Xenopus tropicalis: one gene and its partners. The protein of the gene in region 1 interacts with the protein of each later gene in a pairwise test. Links are inferred from orthologs where the notes say so. Each region holds a gene or a part of one and is shown on either strand. Other genes may lie near its edges. The genes, in order: hsd17b14, phf1, nek6 and tbc1d22b.

Region 1 (5,908 bases):
CTAGCTGGATACTAGCCCCACCAGGCCACTAGCTGGATACTAGCCCCACCAGGCCACTAGCCTGGATACTAGTCCCACCAGGCCACTAGCCTGGATACTAGCCCCACCAGGCCACTAGCCCGGATACTAGCCCCACCAGGCCACTAGCTGGATACTAGCCCCACCAGGCCACTAGCTGGATACTAGCCCCACAAGGCCACTAGCCCGGATACTAGCCCCACCAGGCCACTAGCTGGATACTAGCCCCACCAGGCCACTAGCCTGGATACTAGCCCCACCAGGCCACTAGCTGGATACTAGCCCCACCAGGCCACTAGCTGGATACTAGCCCCACCAGGCCACTAGCTGGATACTAGCCCCACCAGGCCACTAGCTGGATACTAGCCCCACCAGGCCACTAGCTGGATACTAGCCCCACCAGGCCACTAGCCCAGATACTAGCCCCACCAGGCCACTAGCTGGATACTAGACCCACCAGGCCACTAGCTGGATACTAGCCCCACCAGGCCACTAGCCCGGATACTAGCCCCACCAGGCCACTAGCTGGATACTAGCCCCACCAGGCCACTAGCCCGGATACTAGCCCCACCAGGCTGAGCCTGATACTTACACACCAGGCACACAAACTATGCAATTCTCTCAGGTATATCCTTACAAAAAGCCTTGCTCTGAATCCTATGGCACATGTGTTGGAGCAGTAATATCCCTCAGTGTGCACCCACCCAGGGACACTACTACTTGGTTATTCCATGAACAACAAAGGTATCAATGCATGCTCATTGTGCAGAGGTTACCTGTTAATTCTCACATTGTGCCGACTCTCATCCACCGCCATTGCCTTTGTCATTGCTGTGACTGCACCCTGTACATATATAAATCCAGGTAAGCATCAGTCAAGGGAACAGTATTGGTTCAATTTAATTGTCACGCTACAGCTTCCAGCATCCATAAAGGAGAACCCACTCTTACAAGATGGCAGGAGAAGACATACCTTTGTGGCCACGTAAGGGATAGCGTGTTTCTGACCAATGATACCAACCAGGCTGGATATATTGATGATGTTCCCTTGTGTTTTCCTCAGGTGCGGCAGAGCATACTGAAACACATCAAGAGCCATTTTTAAGGAAGAACAGATGAAAGGATTTCCTGCACATGAAAGAAAACTTGCATAAAAGTACATTAATGGATATTATTATTATTATTATTATGCAGTCACCTTGTAGGTTATATAGTAAGGTGATTAAGGGTTTGCCCCACCCCAGTAGCAGCCAATCAAGCATAAGCTTTTTATGGTCTTGTAAAATTAGGCAAACATTAATATGTACAGCCAGGATAAACTCCAGGGTATCAGGGGCTAAAATACCCTGACTCTAATTATAGTCTATATTGAGCAGCAAATAGTAACGTATAAGAGGCGTAAAAGCAAATATGCAGGTCTGTTCTGTGAAATGAAATGCAAACTCAAGAGTGAGTAAATATGGTAAATATGGAGTAAGTAAATATATCTTAGGTTTAACAAGCTAATATGTGACTGGAGTTTGCCCGATCTCTGTTGTATATTAACAGACCAAAGCTGATGTGCATCTAAGGCCTATAGTGCGGAGAAGGCTAAAAAAAAATAATCAGCATCTCTTCAAAAAGCAATAGCTTACAGGGAGCAAGGAGATGCACTTCTCAATCTCAATCCAAGTCATGCCAATCACAGCCCTTATTTGGCAACACCCTGCAAATTCCTTATGTTTGTGTGGCTCGTCATCACTTTTACATCTGAGTGTGGCTTATGAGTAAAAAAGGTTGAGGGTCCCTGTGTTAAAGAAAGGGTGATGTGGGAAAAAAGCAATGGAGAAGACAGTAGTTGACAGTAGTTGCAATGTCACACAGGGAGATTAGTCGCCCATGGTTAAATCTTGGCTACCATGGGCAACAAATCTCCCCATGGGCAATAAAGTAAATCGCCGGTGGGGTGCATATGTGGTGCTTCATCTCCACCCTGCACTGGAAACTTCAGAAAAAAAAGCGTCTTCCCACCAGCGATTCTCTTTATTGCTGGCGGAAAGGCATTTTAGGGGATTAGTTGCCCGCAGTAGCAGAGATTTAACCGTGGGCAACTAATCTCCCTGTGTGCCATTGCAATAAAAAAGTAAATGTGAACAATAAAGCCCAATATTATCATGTTCACTATTCAGCAAATATTGATTGGAATGCAGTGCAGTTTATGATGTGATCAAATATATCCGATATTGTTCATTCTTACAGTATACTGTATAAGTACAAGGTTGCTCTTCTCTATTTAAACTGTAATAAAATAAAAAGTTTTAATGTTGTACATGGAAAGTGTCTCTTTCTTCTCTTTTTAAAAAATACTACCCACTATGCTTATTATACAGATATCCTAAACTCATTGCTCTTACACAATATTTCCTGGCTACAGTTGCTGTCCATATTTTCTATAAAATGTTTTTAAAAAGCCATTGGGTGCTACATTTTTCCATAGATGACAACCCCAGGGGCTGACATACACTGGTTTCCAGGGCAGATTATGGTAAGAAACTATAACATACACAAGTTCTTTGAGACCATGTTGAGTAGAAATGTGGGGTTCTGAACCTCCATTGTCAGACTGCTGTGTTGCTGTGCTCTCAAAGTATACTGGGGAATACTCCATTTGGTGCAAAAGTGCATATCCCCCCCAACTATTCTATTGATATATTATATACATAATGTTGTGTAACCTGGTCTAACAGAAAACCCTTTGTGCACGACAAGAACCACAATATGCTGTAGCAGGCCATGGGGCTGATTAACAGGGATAAGCGCTAAATTGCACAAGTGGAAACCAATTACATTTCTGCTTTCATTTTCTAACTGGTGGCAAACTAACTGGTTGTTGTGGGGAAATGAGTTGTGCAGCTTGGCACCTATGTTAGTAAATGGGCCCTCGTGCCTATTAACTTTTTGACATTAAATAACAGATAAACAGGTGAGGATAAACGTGTGCTATTGTGCCCATTGGGAAACCAAGAGTGCAACCCCTTACCTTTGCAGTAAGAAAGTAGCCAATCAGATTCAGATTAAGAAGGTCACGGAAATCATCAGCGCTGGTGCCATCTATTGTCTGTTCTGGTGGATCTACAATGAAACAGACATGAGTAACAGAGAGTACCAACTGTTCCGCGGGTTCTTTTTTCCCTTTTAATCACCCAAGAGGCACAGGAAAATCCGCACCTGAGTGGCAGAACGTTTCCCTGTCCATCAAAAGAAATAAAAGGAGCTTTCATTTGGGTGATTTGTCTTAAGAGGAGTCTTAAACCCGAGCTTTACTGCCGTGCTGTTTTATGTTCCTAGTGCTTTTTACAAGGTGCAGTTTGAATACACTTAGGGAAGTAAAGAATGTCTTTGTTCTTGGATTATGGTTCCAGTAAAGTTTATAGAGATCAGTAAGGTTTAATTATATAAAAGTCCCTTTTGGGTAAGTTAAACCCATACCTGCAGTAATAAAAATGATAATAACTGTATAAGGTTTTAAAAACCTGTAAAAAGACATAAATAGCAGTGCCAGGCCTAGGTGTTATAGCACCCAAGGCAAATGGTACCCCCCCTCAGTACATTATAACCCTTCTTTTTCCCCACATCGTCTCCCATACATTGGGTGTTATATCCCCAAACCCTTTATTCTTTTTCTCTGACTTTTCACTCCCCCCCTTTATCTCCTCCTACATTTACTTTCAGTGTTTCTATTCTCTTCTTTCACGCACTACACTCCCTTTATGCAACTCTCCCCTCCTTTATTCTTTGCACAATCAACCCCCTGTGCCCCCATCTCTTCCCCTCTCTCCTTGTGCAATTGTGCCACCTTTCTCTCCTCCTATTAAAGCTATAGCAGCCATTTAGACTCATGGAAATTAGGCAACATAATTGTTTGTTATTAGGTCAAGGCAAGTTTATATCATGTTCAGGATCCCTTAAGTGCCCAAATGAAAGGCTGGGTGAGCAGATTTAGAGTATTAGTACTTACGCCATCCTGCATTATTGATCAGACAGTCAATTTGTCCATAGTTCATCACAGTAATCTCAATCAGCTTCTGTTTAAAATAAGAAAAGTAAACAGAGAAATATAAGTTGTGCTGGCCAACTCAGCCCTTTTGGCTAACGCCCCATGGAGAGATTAGTCACTCTTGATAATCTCTGCTACCGCAGGCGGCTAATCTCTCTGAAGTGGCTTTCCACAAGCAACAAAGAGAATCCCCAGTGGAAAGGTCTATGTGTTGCTTTGTTTCTCCAAAGCCTATGCGATTCTCTTTGTTGCAGGTGGAAAAGCATTTCGGAGACTAATCTCTCGGTGGGGCATTAGCCTTACATGAACCCCATACAGAATATAGGCTGCAGGGATGTTTTCAGATGGCCCATTGTTGGCTGGAAGAAGGCAATGTTATGTGTGCCCAGTTTAAAAACAGTGTTTGATCACAGTGGGGGCCAATTTGATTACTTAGGAGTTTAGACCCTGGGCTGACAGTGGGCCAAGGGTACAGTTCTAGGGAGCACCCTGCCGCCATCTTGCTTCCTGCTGCCCTGGGCTGGGCACGTGTGCAGCAGCGTAGACATGATTAACCCTTTCCACTATTGGCACATGGGGCCTGACACTGCTCTTATAGGCTGGTCTTGTCCATTAGCCCATCAGTTCCATCAATGTAGCACCACGCACTGCCAAAAAACCCACTGTAGTTGATAAAAGGTTTTGATGCCTCAGAGTCAATGTTTGAAGAGGGTGGGGTTTAGTTATGGACATCTTTAATATAAAATACATCTCAGATTCAAACATTAGCCAACACCTAGATCCTTTCCTATCCATGCCCACTGGTACCCACTATTCAACCCACACCCCATTCAATCTCATGTAAACCCCATCCCTTTCCCAACCCACATTTCACTACTCTTCCAAGAAGACAGCAAGAGTTGAAATGCAGACATTCTAGACATTGTCGAATTCAGACAGGCAGCATGGTGGTGCAACAGCCCAGTCCTGGGATGAATCCCAGCCAGGACACTATCTGCAAGGAATTTGTATACTCTCCCTGTGCTTGTGTGGGGTTCTGACACTATTGCCCTCCCCTTAATTTGGATTTTGATTCCAGAAAAGGTGGCAACCCTTTTCTGGTTTCTTCCGACACTCTGAAAACATACAGGCCGGCTCATTTGCTCCTGCTGCCGCCGCACTGTTTCATGAGTCAGAACCAGAGAACAGAAAGGGATAAACCAATGCTGCTTTCGACTGCAAAAACAGACATAACATGGGAAATGTTTCCTGACCGCATATTGGAAAGTTGCTTAGAATGACATATTTTGTCATTATGCAACAAAAAAAGAGGTTTTGGGTAGAGATCACAGACACTTCAGCTTACGGTCAGTACAAAGCCAATCTGATTACTTCTATATTTTTGAATGAGAAGCTGAGACCTCAGGGCCATATTGAAACCAACCTACTCTGGGCAGACGTTGCATAGGCTTTGCCACAAGAGGGAAGTCTGGTCACATGGATCTTAAAGGGACAGTTCACACAGTTGCACAATTAAGAATTTAAAAGAATATCTTTTTCTACATAAACTTAAATGTAATTCAAAGGAAAACAACCCCTTTTAATCAACCTTGACATAGGCAAGAGTGTCCCTTTGTGCAAGTTGTGCTCTATAGATATCCGCCTGTCCATCCAGCTGTGCCCTTTCCTATTCTGTTTCACACCCCGAATAAAGGCTTTCATACCTTAATATCTTCTTCTTTTGTGACATCACAACAAACATATATACAGTCTCCTGGCCCCGCTGCCTTTATCTCATTCTCCAGAGCTTTGGCCTCTGTATCTACAAAAGGGAAAAATACCAAGCAGACTTTCTTGTAGTTCATTTAGCTCTCA
Region 2 (5,908 bases), on another chromosome or scaffold:
GCTGTAGTAATTGCAAGCTGCAGTTTACTACATAGTAGAACTAAGACTATAGATTTTGGAGTGTGCCCTCATCTAAAGGTATGCATGGGTGATCTATAACATATAAACAAACAAACACCCCCGAGGGGGTATATTTGACGAGACCATTGCAACACTTTTTTTTCCACGATGTGCTGTTGCCAGCACTATTGCAAGTGCTACTCTGTATTTGGCATTCATATATACTGGACTCATTTTAGAACAGAAACTATTGAAGCTTCGCACACACGAATGATTGTAACACATTCATTCGTATAAACACATCATTCCTGGGATAAAAGTCTATACATTATTACTATTTCCGGGACATAACTTTTGTACAATTGTTGCTTGTCAGTTAATGGGCAGAATATCATTTAATTTGTTATTTTTTCAACTTTAATCCTACAATTTAAATCTGAATGTTAGTTTTAGATTGTTGCATTAAAACATACGATCGATATCCAAAAGTTCGTCTTACAACAAATAAAATCTGAATGTGTAGAGTAACAATAAAAAAGATGTGTACAGAGCAATAGGTTTTTGGCTGCCGGGGTAAGTGACCCCCATTTGAAGACCAATTGCAGAATTGCTAGAAGTAGGACATTCTTTATCATAGTAAAAGTTAATGCAAAGGTGAATAACCCTTTTAAGATCCATCAGTATCAAACAATTCAAGTTTAATTCTAACCCCACTCTTCATCATACTTGTATGAATTTTCCTTTGTCCATTTCTGCTTTTACACATATTTCTGTCCCCCGTGTCACACTGTTGATTGGTTAAATTGTTTATTTTCTTTATATACAGGGTTGATGTTTCACATCTTGTCTTGTATCATCTCAGTATTTGTTGTAAGAAGAAATATTTTGACTTTGAGCGTGAAATTCTTTCCTTTGTTAATGAAAATTGGGACAGTTTACTTTTAGGAGAGGTAAGTAGCAGTGCCAAAATTATGATGCAGCAGTTATGGTTTTAACAGAGTCCCAAGCAAAGCATCACTGTTACTGGTTATGTCAATGCACTGTTTTAAAGCATCAGCCATCTCTCCCCCACATGGCCCAAATTAGAAATGGTCTCTCCGCAATCGTAAGAGCATTTCATGTAGCTCCCACTACTCTGGTTTTTAAGTCACATATCTCACCCACCCTCTTCTTACCACTCCCTAATGGCAGTGCATTTCACCTCCTTCAATTTGCGTTCCACCAGTCCAGTAATTTCTATATACTGATCTCTCCCTTTGGTTTTTTAGTTTGCATGGATTTGATGCCATTGTAAATACTATTGTATTTACTTTCTACTTGGTTTGGAAAGTATTGTGGTTAATTGATTCATAGCAGCATTGGGTTATTTTTGCACTGTACTAAACAATTTATATTGGCATTAAATTATCTAGCAGGAAGTTGGCAATACAACATGCTACTTTCCCTTGTGTGTAACAACTGAAATGAATAGCATTTGACTTTCACTGTGCACAAGGTGAAGAAAACAGCATGTGTGGCATAGCCCAAAGGGGAACTTCAGCTTCCCAAGTTTGTGTTTTCATTAAAGTGCTTTGACCACTCATTATCAGAAGAAATAATATATATTTATGCAGACTAGGACTCTGGGATAATTTTGTTATATAGTGCTAGGTTTCTATGATGATCCTTATTTCTTTTTTTATGTTTGACTCAGCTGACAGACACTCCTCGTTCTGAACGATATTCTCACCTTCTTCACGCCCTTACAGCCCAGAAGGATAGGTAAGAAGCCTATCTTTTGACTGAAGTGGGTCCTTTAATGTAGTTTTATTACTTCATTTGCCTGTTAACAACACTGGTAATACATTTTTTGAATGTAGACTTCGGTAATGTATAAATAACTACCATGTTATGTATAGACATACTAAATTTAATAATATAGGAATGAATATGTGATTTTTGTAGTTTTCAGACTTTGTTTTCCTTCAGGTTTATTTCTGGAAAGGAAATAAAAAAAAAGAAGTGTCTGTTTGGCCTACAGACCCGTGTCCCACCTCCTGCCCCACAAAGCACAGAATCTCAGCTAAGGCAGCAAGAATCTAAGGATAGAACTTCCACTCCATGTGTAAGGTGAGGAACCTTAATTTTGCACACACAAAGTATTAATGCATTTCAAAGCCCACTTTATATATCATACTGCATTGCTTGTCTTCCTTCCCCTCCCCAGCGAGCGGATATAAAGATCTCTTGCAGTTCCCTTGTAGGGAGGATGGGGATCACGAGACGCCCCACACACAGGAAGAGGACCCAGAGCATAGAGAAGCAGACAGGAAGGGAGAGGCAGAAGCTGTGCAAAGCTCTTACCCAGGTAATAGGATTTTTTTTATATAACAATATAATCATATTTAGATATTGAACCTGTAGATTTTGGCCTAATAGAGGCCAATGTTATCCTGCAAATACAATAGATTTGAAGAACTGTTTTGGGATGCTAGCAATGTATTTTTTATGTATTACTATTATTATGTATCCATTTATTCCTGCTTTACAGTGCTGTGTATAGTAGTACTATATAAATACAATATACATACATACATACATACAATAACACTTAAAGATCTATGACCCGTACAAAAGGACTGGTTCTTTTATTTATCATGGAAGTTTTTTGACTTCTAACATTGTTATATTTTATACTGTTGTTCCCTATATATTTTAACTTTTCTCTCACAGCTACTTGGGGGACACAGGAATTGTGGGGTATAGCTTCTACCACTAGGTGGCAGTACACTAGTAAAAAAAAGTCCTCTCCCTCAACAGCTATACTCCTCAACACAGGAGGTATGGACAATCACAATGATTTTTTTCTGCAATTCTGGACTGGCCAGGACTCCAAGGGATGTTCCTGCATAACTACCTAGGTAGGATGTCTCCAGGCTTCCCCTCTGCTGAATCTCCCTTCCAGGGCCATAAGTCACAATACTGGCCACTTAGTGTTGCCTGCACTTATCCACAGTAGCAGATAGCAGCTGGAAGAAGGGTAAGCATGCCTCTACACGGAACACTCGCCTCCACTGGTGCCTTGTTTCCTAGACACTTGCTGTCCATGCCACATACTTTGTTTTGTGAGATGTTCACAACTAGAAGCTTCCATACCAATCGTGGTGCAGGCACCAGTGACTGCAACCAGGTGTCCTGCCGCCCCACTCCTTGCTGCTCCTTTCCTCATTGTGCACAAGTTCAAATTTCCCTTGGCATTGTTTTCCCCTCCTTGGCTTATGCACAGGGAGATATGCCCACCCCCTTCTCCTACCTGTCTGCAGGAGGCAGGACACAACTACAACTGTCTCTCCACTACTTCTACTGGGCTTGATGGCTGAGGGGGGTTGGTGAGGGCTTTATACCCTGTGTAAATTTTGGCCTGCGCCATGTGCTTCAAAATATTGTCTGCAAGGCATAGGGGCCCTCTCATTGCTTTGTGCAACCCCGCTGAGGGCCCATTCTGCGGGGGCAACCAGTCAGAGCAACATAAACCTCTTCTCAGCTGGCACTTGTGGAGGGCAGCTGAGGTTGTTTCAGGGACTATTGCTTGCTCATTCTCAGGATTCATGGGTTTCTTCCTAAAACACCTCCCGGAGTTTGCAAACCTCACACTTCACCATTTCTTGGTGTCTCAGTTACCCAAAGAACCCATTTGCACAAGGTTTCAAGGTAATACAAGATATGCTGAAGTCTTCCATCATCACTCCAGTTCGGATATGTTCATGGTCCCTAAATAAGACAGTTCTCTTCATCCTGTCTTAGACCCCAAACACTTGAATAAATTCATTAGGCCTGCAAATTCAAGATTGAGTCTCTCCGCTCAGTCATTGTGGCCATGGGCCAAAATGAGTTCCTGGTGCAACTGGATATCAAGCAAAGCTATCTTCATGTCCCCATTTTCCACCCCCATCATTGATTCATGCTCTTTGTCTTCCAAAATCGACACTTCTAGTTAACATTTTCTGCCCTTCGAGGGGCCTTGGTCCTCCAGGTCCTCACCAAACTGATGAGAGAGCTCCAGGTTTTGTTTTTGTTGTACTTTTCCAGGAACATCTGGCCCTCTAGCCAGATGTCACAACCTTCATTAAAGGTGCTGCTCATGTGGCTTCACCCTTCAAGTTTTTGTGCCCCCCCCTTGGGACTTTAACCTGGTGCTGAGGGCTCTCTAGGACTCTCCATTTGAATGTCTTGCTTCTGTTTTCCTGCCTTGACTCACATGGATAATAGTAGCAATTTCCTCAACAAGACGAGTATCCAAACTCAGTCGACCTTTTTGCTGGTCTCAGTTTCTTATTTTCCATCTTGACAAGACATTTCCCCATACAGTTCCTTCCTTAATAAATCCCACATAAATCAAGAGATAAAGTCATTCTAGTCACTAACTTGTTACTTCAGGCTAGGGCTACACTTTTTCAAAAAATCCACCAACCTCATGAACTGCCTGCGTTTTGCTAAGACTTACACAAAAGCGCATGCGCAGTAGAGTAAAAAGCCGACTTCTCTGTTAAAGTTCGGCTTTTCACTCTACTGTGCATGCGCACACAGCGCTACAGGAAGGAGGAAGCGCTGGCAGCTACCCCGGGCTGGTGCTGTTCTCTCTGAACAGGGGCACCAGCCCGGGGTAAAAGGTAGGCTATTGAAGTCACTTGGGGGTGCCTAACATTTTGGCACCCCCAAGTGACTTTGCCTTTCCTTCTCCTTTAAGGGCACTATTGAGACAACTGAAGGTATGCCTGCAGCTTGAGATTAAATCTCAAGGAAAAATTCTTTGGTACCCATGCATACACTAAACTAAATGTAACACCCAGCGGAGGGGAAGAAGATTTGTGGTGCAATGCTTCAAATGAAGTACACTGGGCTGGTGCATTTTTGATACGAAGGAACACCAGCATTTAGAATCACTGAGAGGTGCCTAATGACTTGGACTTAATTTTACCTTTGACGTAAACCCAAAAATTAAGCATCAGATATACATTAGTTATTTTCCAGCAGTTTAAACGTTATTTGTAAAAGTAATTGCAGTTCTCTCTGACTATTGAAACAATGTATCAGAAGCCAACTGATAACAACTGTAAAGAACATAACTTAAAAACTACTAAAATCTTTCATTAAAATGCAGATTAAAAGTTACTTAGAGTTACATTATGTGAAATGTGATTGTTGGGTTTAAATCCTCTTTAAGTTGACAGATATTTTAAATCATTGCTATGTAGAACCAGAAATTTGCCAGACTCCCTCCTTTGTTGCTGTACTATAAACTACGAAAAACGGGAACACAAAACTTCTGGCACTCTCTCTTTTACTAAGCCACTGACTGACTTGTGCAGTGGATTTAACATTTCTGGAGGGATAAACCTGTAAGTTTTATGTGTGTGCACCATTAAAGCTGATGGAATGGAATGCAGGTGAGACTATTATACACAATTTGCTACACTATCAATCACACAAAAAGACCTATATGATATTCATTTTTAAATAAAAAATTGTTGGATATAGTACAGATGATCTGGGGATGAAATTGTATGCTAAATATGCCATTTTATCTTCTGTGGTGCAATTGTTTTTTTTTTTTAATGTCTTTGTATAGGATGTTGTGCAGAATCCATTCAGCTCTAACCAGGAGTACCAGGGATACCGCGGGAGCGCATACAACTTTAGGCGAACTGGAGCACGCTGTTTGCAGAAGTAAGGATTTTAGACAATATGTGTTATTAAAAGCTCTGGGAGCAAAATAACTGTCTATGGATTTTTTTGTTTTTTAAAATTTGAAAGTGATTGCAGTTCATTTCAACATATAGCAAGTTATGAGAATCAGTAGAGTAATGGTACAGGTATCTATTGATAGAAGGATTTGAACTATTTCTGGTAAATAGATTCCATAACTTTA
Region 3 (5,908 bases), on another chromosome or scaffold:
TCTGAGCCTGAGGGGTGAACAATGCAGAAACTAAAAGGTGTGAACAACACAGGGGTTTCCTTGTTTAAACAGTACCTTCCTATGTCTACCCCTAGCTCCAGCCCTACATTTAATGAATATGCAAATTAGGGTTCACATTAAGTCAAATGTTTTGTGGAGAATTTAACAATTAGTCAAATCTAAAAATGTTGTATTCCATGCATCTCTGGTTATGTGTATAAATGTTCCCACATAATGCATGTCTGCAAGGGCAATAACATGGCAAACAAATCCTACATAAGAGAATATTTTGTGCCTGAAGCTCTGTATTTCCACAGCTTAGTGAGTAAGCAGGTAAATCAGGTTATCACGGTAGATATCCCAGTGAGAAGCAAACATAACAGTAAATATCTGCAAATGGATATTACTTTTCAGGAAATCTGCAGGATGGCAAAACTGATTCAAAATAGATGGAGGTCTGCAAATCTGAACATTGCATATCTGAGGTCCATTGACATTCAGATGTCCTAATCTTTCCCTCTCACACAGCGCTGGACTTATATGAAGAGCTTGTAGTTTAACCAAAACAGAGCATATTCCCAGGAAGTTCCATGTCCCAGCGCCCCAAACGCTACATGCATCCCAACTCTGATCGATGTCTTTGTATTTCACCCTTCATTTCTGTGATGTGCAAAGACTTTAGAAAAGAATCAAAACACATCATCCTCTGACAGTTTCATCAGGCGCAATCATCAGAGGCATCAAAGGCCGGATAAAACAAGAAAAAAAAAATGTTCAGAGGTAACAGGATGAGCAGCAAGGAAAAAAGCTGCAGGGGAAAGAAAATATACGGAAAACAGGAGTTTGTTAACCCACTGAGGTGAGACAAGTAATGTCCTGAAGACTTTGGCTTCTACGGAGAATGCACAAACAGAAACAATCGCTGTGATTTCCCCCCATCACGCTATCATTCATTATTCTTGCAACTGAAATATAGTATCCGATATATAAAGATACTAACATTAAGGCATCTAAGTTGCCATAAATAACCAGATAAATGTTACATTGTCATACTTTAGGGTTAATGCCAGTCACAGACTAGCAATCTGTGCAGGGCCGTTTTAATAAATGGACCTTCTAGGATAACTCTTGCCAGAAGCATCCTACAGAGATGGCAGACACCTCATTTTATTCAACTGAAAAAGCTCTGTAGTATGGTTATTTAATTTCATTGTCTCTTTTGAGGCATCACCATTCTGTCATTTGTCTGCCCCCATGGTTGTTGGTCCCTAGTGGCACACCATGGGACCATGTCTACTTCAGTAAGCGCAGAGCATTTTTTTACTTCCTGCCTTATTATATTGAACTTTACAAGTTTAAGGGGTTATTCTATTACAAATTTATTGGTGCAGTGGGGGCCCACCAATGAAATTTTGCCCTGAGAAAACCGGTACCTTAAAGCAGCCCTGAATCTGCGGGTCCTGGCAAATGCAAGAGAGGCTGCTGAAAGATGCCTTAGACAGTCACTATTTGTTGGATTGGTGGGGGTTGTTTGGGCCTCTGTGTACTTGTAGTGCCAGGGCCTATTCTGAATCTTAGTTCCCAAAGGAAATGTTGAAAATGTCATGCCAGGGGCGTTCCTGCCATGACACAAGGTGAGAACCTTGCCTCAGGTGGCAGCGCCCCTGAGGTTTAAAAAAGGGAAAAAGCTGTACTTTCCCGTAATTTCCAGTTATTGAACCAGCTCTTCTAGTGCAGAGAGCGCAATTGCACTGTCTGTACTAGCAATGCTGCCCCACCCCAGACCCACTTTGTAGCCAGTAAGGTAAGCACTGTGGCGTGGGGGGGGACAGATTTGAAAGAGCTGCCTCAGGGTGGCTTAGGGGCTAGAATCGTCCCTGGGTCTTCCTACTTTCGGGTCAATGCCAGGCCTAGACTGGCAATCTGTAGGTTCTTGCAAATGCCAGAGAGGCTGCTAAAAGATGCCTTAGTCAACCAGTGGCTTGTGAGCAACATGTGGCTCATCAACCCCTTGGATGTTGTTCCCAGTGGCCTCAAAGCAAGTGCTTATTTTTGAATTTCTGGTAAGGAGGCAAATTTTGGTTCCATAAAAACCCAGTATAATTCCATATAGAGCCTTCTGTAGGCTGCCAGTCCACATAGGGGCTATTAAATAGCCAATTGTAGCTCTTATTGGCACCCCCAGGAACTTTATTCACGCTTGTGTTGCTCCCCAACACTTTTTACATTTAATTGTGGCTCACGTGTATAAAAGGTTGGGGATCCCTGCCTTAGACAGTCACTATTTGACAGCTGTCTGGCTGTCTGTGTACGGTGCCGGGACCTATTTTGGATCTCAGTCTGGGCCTGGTTAATGCTCCTTTAACTTTAGGTAAATGTTTACATGAGCTTGGCTTACCTCTGTGCATGATTCTACGGGAATGCATGTGTTCCACAGCGCTGCATAACTGCACAAAGTATTTCCACACTGTCCTCTCTGGAATTAACCTCTTCTGCTTTTTAAAGTACTGGAACAGAGACACAAAATGATATTTGGGTTGAGAAACAGAAAGCAAGAATAATGAAAGGATCCAGACAGGCACAAGTTAAGGTTAACAGCAAGATTACAGACAAAGCATGCGATTAAAGGTGGCCAACACATGCATGTATATCTGGCAGAAAATAGGCCAGATGTTGATCGGACAGGTTTAAAAATCCCATCAGGGTGAGAAGTGCATCAACGTGTTCATGTGGTTCTCATCCTGACCCCCTGCATCCCATCAATGTGATTCAAACGCCTGTCTCTCAACTCAAGGGGGAAATATTGGTGAAAGATTTGCACATTTGACAACCTCGTCAAAAATACGGACACCCCCATTTAATAGACTACAAACTCTTTGCTGCTCAAATGCAGGCTGGGTATTTTGCACACTATTTTGGAGTGAGTTTCTCCTTCAGATGTGAGTAACAAAACTAGGTCTGACATGTGGATTCTAATGAGCATCTAGTCTTAATTACCTTGCACAACATATTTAGCCCTCAGACCCACAAACTGGAACAAATGGAGCTTTAGCCTCAAGCAGATCCTCCTGTTCATTATTTTTATTTTAATAAAATAGTTGAGCAAAACTATCGTTAACTGCTTGCAGTATGTTCTATAATGTAATGATAGAAACAATTATGATTTTTGTTATTTATGCAAAAAAGTAAGGAGGTTAAAAATATGATCTGATCACTGGCTTGATGGCCAATAAGATAAGCCCAATTTGGCCTAGCACACGGGTAGCTAAATGGGGCAAAGATCCATTTGTTTGGCGAAGCTTTTTTATTTTTTCTAATATTTCTGAATTTATCAAAGTTTAGCTTTTCAATTGTTCATGCCTATTATCTATTAGCTTAGCCAAAAGGAACCATCTGAAGCTATGACCAATTTCTGCACAGCCAAAGACAGTTGTTTCCCAACTACAGTTATTTTATCCACAGCACTTTCCAAAATAAGTTAGCATATGATCTCCCACCTCCATAGATACACAAGGAATATTTGCACTTTGCTTCTTAAGTAGCTGTGTTTTTAGGTAACTTTGTCTGTAATGTGGTGACACTTCTTACTTTAATCATCTGGGAGAGGTCTCCGGCATCTGCAAGCTCCAGAACAATGTTCAACTCATTGTCTTCAATAAAGGAATCCAAATACTTGATCACATTTGGATGGTTCAGTTGCTGTCAACAAAAGATTATAAAAAAAAAAATTAATAAACAACACATTATTCTGTTAATAGACTTCAAGGGCTATGGCAAATAGAAACTACTGTCTGCCAGTGTTCGTAGAGAAACGGCCCATATTTTCCCACAATGTCCCATTCGTTTCAGTAAAACACATTGGCACCTATATTTATCACATTTCAATTTTTTTAAGAAAGAAAGAAGAAAACTTACTAAACTTACATGTGCGCTAATATTTTTAGTAAAAAACTTAAATCTAAAAAAAAACTTGATCGATTAAAACTTAAATAAAACTTGAATGTGCTGAATTCATATGCTGCTCATCATTATCAATTGGTCTACCACCTCCTAGACAAATTTTAAAAACCTGAATTGAAAAGAAATCGCTTACATTTTGAATTTAAGTTTTGGAAACTGTAATTCGAATTCAGGAGTTTAAGCACAAAGAAATTGAAATTTCAAAACAATTTTGAATGTTGATAAATCAGCATAATAAATAGCCACCACTTAGCTCATACCAATGCCACAGATATATAAAATATAACTAAAATAACAAACCTTCAGGGTTTCCTTAAAACAGGGGTCCCCAACACTCAGATGTAAAAAGACTTGGAGAGCAACAGAAGCGTCATGAAAGTTCATGGAGGTGCCAAATAAGGGCTGTGATTGGCTATTAGGTAGCCTCTATGCACACTATCAGCTTACAAGGGGCTTTATTTGGTAGTAAATCTTGTTTTTATTCAACGAAAACTTGCCCCCAAGTCAGGGATTCAAAAATAACTACCAGGTTTGGGGGTTCTGAGAGCAACATCCAAGGGGTTGGTGAGCAACATGTTGCCCCTGAGCCACTGGTTGGGGATCACTGCCTTAATAAATAACCACAAAAGCATTTGCAATTGTGACTAGGGGGGTCTCATCACACCCTTAAACAACATCAACTGAATTAAGCATTCCCCAGAAATTGGAAACCCCCAGCTAGGAACCTTTGTATCAGATATACTTGTTTTTTGGTTAACACAGAGGAGAAAACCATTAGGTATTTATATATAACCACACCATGGCAGGCCCCTAGTACTGACCAGTTATGGCCATGGGTACAGTCCTATCTGGACTTGGCTATGGTCAGCAATCATCTGGAAGAGCATATCAAGTGGAGAAAGATGGCACCCACCAACCCTGCTACACTATTCTGATTTTTTCTCAATAGTTTCTCAAATCGTGTCTTTGTGGAACAAAAAGAAAAAGAAAGTGCTGCTTTTGCCAAGTACACATAAAAACTATTGAATAAAGGGAAAAATAACATTTATAGGTATGGGACCCGTTATCCAGAATGCTTGGGACCTGGGGTTTTCCAGATAAGGGATCTTTCCATAATTTGGATCTCCATAACTTAAGTATGCTAAAAATCATTTAAATATTGAATAAACCCAATAGGATTGTTTTGCTTCCAATAAGGATTAATTATATCTTAGCTGGGATCAAGTACAGGTACTGTTTTATTATTACAGAGAAAAGGGAATCATTTAACCATTAAATAAACCCAATAGGGCTGTTCTGCCCCCAATAAGGGGTAATTATATCTTAGTTGGGATCAAGTACAGGTACTGTTTTATTATTATAGAGAAAAGGGAATCATTTAACCATTAAATAAACCCAATAGGGCTGTTCTGCCCCAATAAGGGGTAATTATATCTTAGTTGGGATCAAGTACAGGTACTGTTTTATTATTACAGAGAAAAGGGAATCATTTAACCATTAAATAAACCCAATAGGGCTGTTCTGCCCCCAATAAGGGGTAATTATATCTTAGTTGGGATCGAGTACAAGGTACTGTTTTATTATTACAGAGAAAAGGGAATCATTTAACCATTAAATAAACCCAATAGGGCTGTTCTGCCCCCAATAAGGGGTAATTATATCTTAGTTGGGATCGAGTACAGGTACTGTTTTATTATTACAGAGAAAAAGGAAATCATTTTTAAAAAATAGAATTATTTGCTTTAAATGGAGTCTATGGGAGATGGGCTTTCTGTAATTCAGAACTTTCTGGGTAATGGGTTTCCGGATAAGGGATCCCATACCTGTACAACATTCTTTCACAAAATAAGGTAAATAAATGCTAAGTCTAAGGCTAAGTAAATGCTATTATATTTATAAACAGCTACTGTAACAAACTCTTTTAAGCACTGCCTTTTCTACGGTGTTT
Region 4 (6,571 bases), on another chromosome or scaffold:
TGAGGAAATACAGGGTTATGGGCGATAGCTCTTACTACAAGTTGATCCAGGAACTGGTACTATTGCCATTGCGGAGTCACAAAAGAATTTTTTTCCCCTTTGTGGCAAATTAGAGAGGCTTCATATGGGTTTTTTGCCTTCCTCTGCATCAACTAACAGTTAGGAAGGTTATATATAGGCATTAAGGTTGATGAAAGTGTGTCTTTTTTCAACTTAACTGATGTTACGGTTTTATTACTAAGTCAACACTACGTCATTACTATGAGCTTCTTCAATGGTTATTTTACAGTTTTTATAACTATGCATTTTAACACATATTTTACAAGTTACATGTAGGTACTGAACTTGAACTCTCTGAATATTTTGGGAAATTTTGTAAGATTGGCATAAAAAGCATATTCACATCCATTAATGCAGCAGTCCTCAAACTACAGCCCCCGGGCCGGATGCAGCCCTCCGCGGCCATTCACCTGGCCCCCCGTCCATTCACCTGGCCCCCCGTCTTCACTACTTCCTCCCTAATTAGTACCTGTGTTGGTGTTCTTCCCCAGCGAGTCACCGCGTTACACGCCAACGCTGTGACTTGTTCACTGAAGCAATCGTTGGCTAATATACCAAGCAGCTACAGTAATCCCGTGTGCCATCAGCCTTGCAGAGAGAAATTCATGGCAGAACAATAACTTTGGCAGTTAAGAATATGTCATTATATCTGCTGTAAATCTGTACTGAAATATTAATTTTCATGAAGTTGCAGTGTTGGGAAAAACAAAATGAAAATTACCCTGAGATGTTTCAAATGACTTCACATAGTTATCCATTATGTATTTTTAGTATTGTGAGTGGCAGATGAAGTGATACTGATCTAAGCAATAAGAACTGCCTACCCTGACTGTATAAAGTCATTAACAGGATATTTGCAACAGATTTTGTATTTTTAATGAAAATAGGATAGTTACCCGTTACCCATGTTGTGTTCTGCTCTACCCCTGCACTGGGGCACAGCAGAACACAGACATCACTGTATGCCGTATCAGTGTTTCTCCCTGCTTTTTTGCTCTACAAATAAGATATGTGCAGTGTGCATGGGAATTCGTTGATATTTTTTTTCCAAACTATAGTCCGGCCCCCCAACAGTCTGAGGGAACTTGAACTGGCCCCGTTTAAAAAGTTTGAGGACCCCTGAATTAATGTGCGTACTTATTGGGTGGTGTATAAATATCAATTATAATTACTGAACTGTATATATTTCTTTTTTCTCTCTTTCCCTTGAACTTTGAGCACTGGTATTTTATTTTATTATCTGCTGGAAATTAAAGTTCACCCTTACACATACAGCTTATATACATACAAAAGAAACAAAATGTTTGCTTTGACACTGACCGATTAGGTAATCATTTAGATGAATCTTCCTTGATGCATCTTATATGTAATAACTGTTAAGGGCTCTGGCACACGGGGAGATTAGTCGCCCACGACAAATCTCCCTGTTCGCGGGTGACTAATCTCCTCGAATTGCCATCCCACCGACGACAATGTAAGTCGCCGGTGGGATGGCACAAGCTGCGCAGGCGATTTCGGCAAATCGCCGAAGTTGCCTCGCGAGGCATTTTCGATGATTTGCCGAAATCGTGCCGCCGCGTCTGCCATCCCATGCTATCCCATCGGCGACAATGTAAGTCGTCGGTGGGATGGCAGACGCTGCAGCGCAATTTCGGCAAATCATCGAAAATGCCTCGCGTGGAATGGCAACGCGGGGAGATTAGTCGCCCGCAAACGGGTAGATTTGTCGCGAGCGACTAATCTCCCTGTGTGCCAGAGCCCTTAGTAAGGGCTCTCCATCTCAACTTCAGCAATATGTTTTTATATTATCATAAAAAGTATTGGAGTTAAGGTAAAATTTAGCACTATGTAATAAATTGAACCTGTAAAAAATGCTTTGCAACCAAAAAATATACTCCTGACACTATAGTAGCGCACCTGCAGTGACCCTGTGGAGATGATCTTCACTGACAGATTTTGTAACAGAAGGTTGGCAAGGGGACTCCTCCCGTAGCTTGAGGTGGCTCTCTATAACTTGTGCAGCTGTCACTTCAGCAACCCTGGAGTTAAGAGTCTGATAGGGTGAAGCATACAGGACATCTCCTCCTCCATCATCATCATCAGCATCATCATCATCCTCAATATCCCAGGCATCACTAGTATTTCTTGCAAACTCATGAAAACTAGATGCTTTTCTGCTTTTCAAATGAAGTGGTTGTCGCCTTGAACGATCAGAAATATAACTGCCAAAAAATTGTAAATAAGGGTAACAAACAAAAGTTTAAATTGTTGGCATAGATAAGGTATTAATATCCATTATAAAAATATGAACAGAAATTTAGCCAAAACATTGTATACCTTTTATTGAGACGAGGGTCTAAAGGTGGGTGCTGGGCCCCATACACTGGTTGAATACTGAGAAAAGGATAAAGGTATTGACAAAATAAGATCATTGCATATAAAACCGGAATAAAAACAATGAGTAAACAAAGACCCCCAGAAATCCCTATATATCAGCTCCTTACAACTTATAGCTTTCTGTCCTTTTCATAACAAAGATCTCAATTTTTACTTGAATTCCTGCAAATTACATTACACATGATGATCTTAATATAGAATAAATGGCTGTCAAGATTTCATTATCCCACAAAACATAAAAAATGTCTATTGTTGTTGTATATTATTGTGTAATTAAACAATATAAACATACAACGTTTGCAAAGGCGATTTTGACTCTTTACTGTATATATGCACTAAAAGGTATTATGCATTGTGACAAATAGTATGAGACCAAACGGAATTGTGCACAGTCCCTAAGGTGCCAGCATTGATCAAGAAATCCTTGTTCTTCCCTCAAGTTTCCGGCAACAATCCATTGTCAGTAAACTGGGCCTCATTAAAAGGCATACTTAGTCACTACTGTCAAATTAAATAAACTCAAACCCTCACATGTACATATTAACCCCAATAATAATTGGACAAGCCCGCATCTTAGCACGTATATCTTTTAATTAAACATAATGCCATTTTCACAAGGAGACTGTAATTTCCCATTCCTTGATCTTTCCGAATCCACTCCTACTTTCAATAAATCAACTCATATACACAAACACACACTACTCAAATGTTCTGGTCTCTTCGTTCTTCCTACAAGTCAAAGCTGTCCAAGTTTTTCTATGAAACTCCTCAAGCACACTCCCTTTCATGATCGCCTTAAGTTGTTACCTTCCCGGAAGCTTTGTACTCCTTTTCCAGAACTGTCGGTTATTCTCTGACATCCTGCAAGTCCACTGTATTTCGTTTTGTAGGGTGTGCTCACCCGCTCCGGGGATCCGCTTCCACCATAACGGAACCGGGCGGGTAGAGATTCCTAATTGGCGGATTTTACAGTATCATCCAATTGAAGCCAATGAACGTTAGCGATGCTACGAGGCTACGGTGCTCAGGTGACGTTTTTAGCATGGAGCGCTCATAGGAAATCAACCGGAAGTGTTTGGTTTCGCCATCTTAGTACTCTCTGCGCTAGGTTGTAGAATTCATTTTTTTTGCCGTTGCAGCGGAAGAGTGTTTTTTTTTTTCTCTAGATTTGGTTATTATGTAACTTTAATTCAGGCGGTATGTATTAATGTAGTAGAATTGTGTTTTGTAGTTTATGTAAGAAAAAGAGGAGGTGAGAGGACTTTGTATGGCAGATCATTTTAGACCTGTTAACTTGGTGCAAAGTTGATCAGATTTTTTGAGTTTTTTTTATTTTAAATTGGAGAAATCATATATGGTGCATCGTTACAGTTGCCACATTTTCTGGAAAAAATAGCTTTTCCTATTTGTTTGTGTTTATACAATATTTCATACCTCCCAACATTTGAAAAGTAGAAGGAGGGACAAGAATATGTTTTTCATATTTTTCAGCCCATGCTTACTTTATGGCCACACTCCAAAACAGGCCTATTTTACAAAACCACACCTGAAAAGTATAACATACACAAAGTGCATCAGAAGACAGACACTGTGACCCCAATCATTTTATGACATATTGTGGCCCTAAGGATTTAATTACGCACTGTGCCACCTGTATATCATGACAGACTCAGTGAAGTACAAGCATCCCATGCTACATATTGACCCTCAGCATCTCTAATACCCATTTCAAAACAATTCAAAACTCAGAAAATCACCAGAGCTGTATGCAGTCCCATCAGTAGAAAGGACACACAGACACTGGTAGCCAGGGCCCCCTATAACATTGGTAGCCAGGGACCCCCTAAAACATATATGTCAAACACAAGGCCCGGGGGCCAAATCCGGCCCACCTGGCTGTTTTATGTGGCCCTTGGTGAGTGTGTCTGACCATCCAGCCTGATCAATTTCCATTTTCCTCACATAGTAACTAAAACTAAGGGGTATATTTATCATGCTGTGTAAAAAGTGTAGTGAAGCATTTCCAGTAATGTTGCCCAAGGCATCCAATCAGTAATCAGATTTCAACAGTAGCAAAGCTTCTATTGGCTGCTAGGAGCAACATCACCGGTAATGTCTTACTCCACTTTTTACACATTGTGATAAATATACTCCTATCTATCTTACTAAGTATATTAATAAAAAATTTGGCCCGAGACTTAGCCTTTGTTTTAGATTTTGGCCCCCTTATGTGATTGAGTTTGACACCCCTGCCCTAAAACATTGCTAGCCGGCCCAGGGCCCCCTAAAACATTGCTGGTCCTCCCCTATTTTGGTAAGAAAAGTTCTATCCTTATGCCCCAGTCTTGTTAAGCTTGGGGCCTCTGGTTCAATCCCCATATTAAGTACTTAGAAAGGTTTAGCCCTTGCCAATGGTATTTTAGGCAGCAGGTAAAATAATACAGATATTTTATGGGAAGGAAATAAATAAAATAGTGTCAGTGTAAAACATTTCATCATGGGTTTTAAACACAGTTGTGGAAAAACTAATCCTAAATACAGAGCTATATATTTTAGTAAGGCTTGGCTAGAATAACAATATCACCAACATTAAGGCTAATGCCACACCATGCGTATGGTGTATATTTTTGGCAAGCTAAAAAACGCTTGCCGAAATTTTGCGCCATACGCTCCTACCTGTGCCTGCACCGGCAATGCTTGCCAAAAATATACACCATACACATGGTGTGTCATTAGCCTAATTATCTAATACACCAAACTTGGGTGGCCTCATAGTAAATAACCAGGGGTAATACATACATATTTGCAAATACAATTCACTGAGAGCAGAATTAATCACATTGCATAGTCTGCACCTTAGCCATACAATTTCCTTAGGCTCCCCCAAATCAGTATTTATAAATATATATGTATTGTGTCTTCCCTTTTTATTTGAACTGTAAATACCAAAAGGAAGTGAATTCCAGGTGGGAATTTTACATTCTTAAAAGTAAAATAAATAATATTAAATTACATTGCGTTTAGAACATTTGTGGCCAACAATCCCACCTAGGTACCCATAAAAAAACATAGCTACACATTTCAGACAGAGGGCCCTCAAATTAGCCAATTTATTGGTTTTTTTTATAACACTCAGCAACTTTTTTTTTAGCAAGTAGAGTTTTTTTTCCTAAATAACACTTAATAGGGGGTAAATGTCCTTTAAATGTCAGCACTTGATATAAATCTATTTTAAAACATGTAGATGCAAAGTCACTTATGTGATCATCCAAGCTAACTTTAAAATGCCAAAAACCCACTCTGTGGGTTATATGAGAGTGTTAACATAGCTGGCCAGCCTCATTTTATAGATATTTATGATGGTTAATAAATGTTTATATTTAGAGACTTATAGGGAAGGTTTAGAAGCAGAACTGACACACAACTAGCAATCAATGGGGGAGACAGAGCCAGAACATGAGATACTTTACAGAAAGCGATATATACTCAATAAAACCTACTTTCTCCTTACCTGACCTGCAAAATAATTCCACTATAGGACTTGCACCAAACTTTTACCCATGTCTTTCTGCTTTGTACGATACATTTGTGTCAAGCCAGGTGAGTCCGATGAGATTGCCACTCACAAGCACCTCACACTAGGCTGGAGGCTTAACCTGAGAGTGAGACAGGAAGCACAGCAGTGGAGAGAGGCTGGAAGGCCAAATAGCGAAGTACCGAGGAGTAAGCAAAGGCGTAGTCAAAACGGGTCCGGGTCAGGGCTGGCAGCAAGGTTCACAAGCGGGAAGTTCAGGCAGAAGGTCAAATAACAGAAGTTTCAACAAGAAGTAACACTGGGCACACTAGAAGCGATAACAGAGCACTGTGGATTATTTCCAAAGTCTTTTTAAAGCTCCCGCCTATGTAACGAGCGTCATGACGTCAGCCGTGGTGTCATTGCGCGTGCGCACGCTGGAACGCAAATGACACCTGCGTTTCAGTTGCACTCGCCGCGCGCCTGGATGGAGACTCAGTGGCGGCGGTGAGTGCCTTTACACATTTGCATGCACCTTAGTTTCCAAGACAGATAAACTTCAGGAGCAGAGAAAAAATTTACTTTTCCAGTTTTACCTGC

What was found.
Region 2: the proteins of hsd17b14 (region 1) and phf1 interact in binary tests that used the Homo sapiens proteins (3 or more experiments, as listed by UniProt). The two-hybrid records come from large-scale screens. The link is inferred for Xenopus tropicalis from reciprocal best matches to the Homo sapiens genes HSD17B14 and PHF1.
Region 3: the proteins of hsd17b14 (region 1) and nek6 interact in binary tests that used the Homo sapiens proteins (3 or more experiments, as listed by UniProt). The two-hybrid records come from large-scale screens. The link is inferred for Xenopus tropicalis from reciprocal best matches to the Homo sapiens genes HSD17B14 and NEK6.
Region 4: the proteins of hsd17b14 (region 1) and tbc1d22b interact in binary tests that used the Homo sapiens proteins (3 or more experiments, as listed by UniProt). The link is inferred for Xenopus tropicalis from reciprocal best matches to the Homo sapiens genes HSD17B14 and TBC1D22B.

The regions. Positions count from the first base shown.
Region 1 is NC_030683.2:114,400,363-114,406,270, forward strand, and holds part of hsd17b14 (17-beta-hydroxysteroid dehydrogenase 14), read right to left. Parts: intron 5,856-5,908; coding exon 5,758-5,855; intron 4,083-5,757; coding exon 4,016-4,082; intron 3,130-4,015; coding exon 3,038-3,129; intron 1,097-3,037; coding exon 992-1,096; intron 863-991; coding exon 795-862; intron 1-794. UniProt on the Homo sapiens protein: Catalyzes the NAD(+)-dependent oxidation of L-fucose, yielding L-fucono-1,5-lactone, which rapidly converts spontaneously to L-fucone-1,4-lactone. Can also act on D-arabinose and L-galactose, with lower catalytic efficiency. Does not use NADPH.
Region 2 is NC_030684.2:71,979,364-71,985,271, reverse strand, and holds part of phf1 (PHD finger protein 1), read left to right. Parts: intron 1-826; coding exon 827-950; intron 951-1,693; coding exon 1,694-1,761; intron 1,762-1,968; coding exon 1,969-2,109; intron 2,110-2,232; coding exon 2,233-2,347; intron 2,348-5,608; coding exon 5,609-5,706; intron 5,707-5,908. UniProt on the Homo sapiens protein: Polycomb group (PcG) that specifically binds histone H3 trimethylated at 'Lys-36' (H3K36me3) and recruits the PRC2 complex. Involved in DNA damage response and is recruited at double-strand breaks (DSBs).
Region 3 is NC_030684.2:29,183,702-29,189,609, forward strand, and holds part of nek6 (serine/threonine-protein kinase Nek6), read right to left. Parts: intron 3,700-5,908; coding exon 3,589-3,699; intron 2,508-3,588; coding exon 2,399-2,507; intron 1-2,398. UniProt on the Homo sapiens protein: Protein kinase which plays an important role in mitotic cell cycle progression. Required for chromosome segregation at metaphase-anaphase transition, robust mitotic spindle formation and cytokinesis.
Region 4 is NC_030678.2:65,165,928-65,172,498, forward strand, and holds the start of tbc1d22b (TBC1 domain family member 22B), read right to left. Parts: upstream 3,530-6,571; 5' UTR 3,318-3,529; coding exon 3,265-3,317; intron 2,455-3,264; coding exon 2,398-2,454; intron 2,283-2,397; coding exon 1,978-2,282; intron 1-1,977. UniProt on the Homo sapiens protein: May act as a GTPase-activating protein for Rab family protein(s).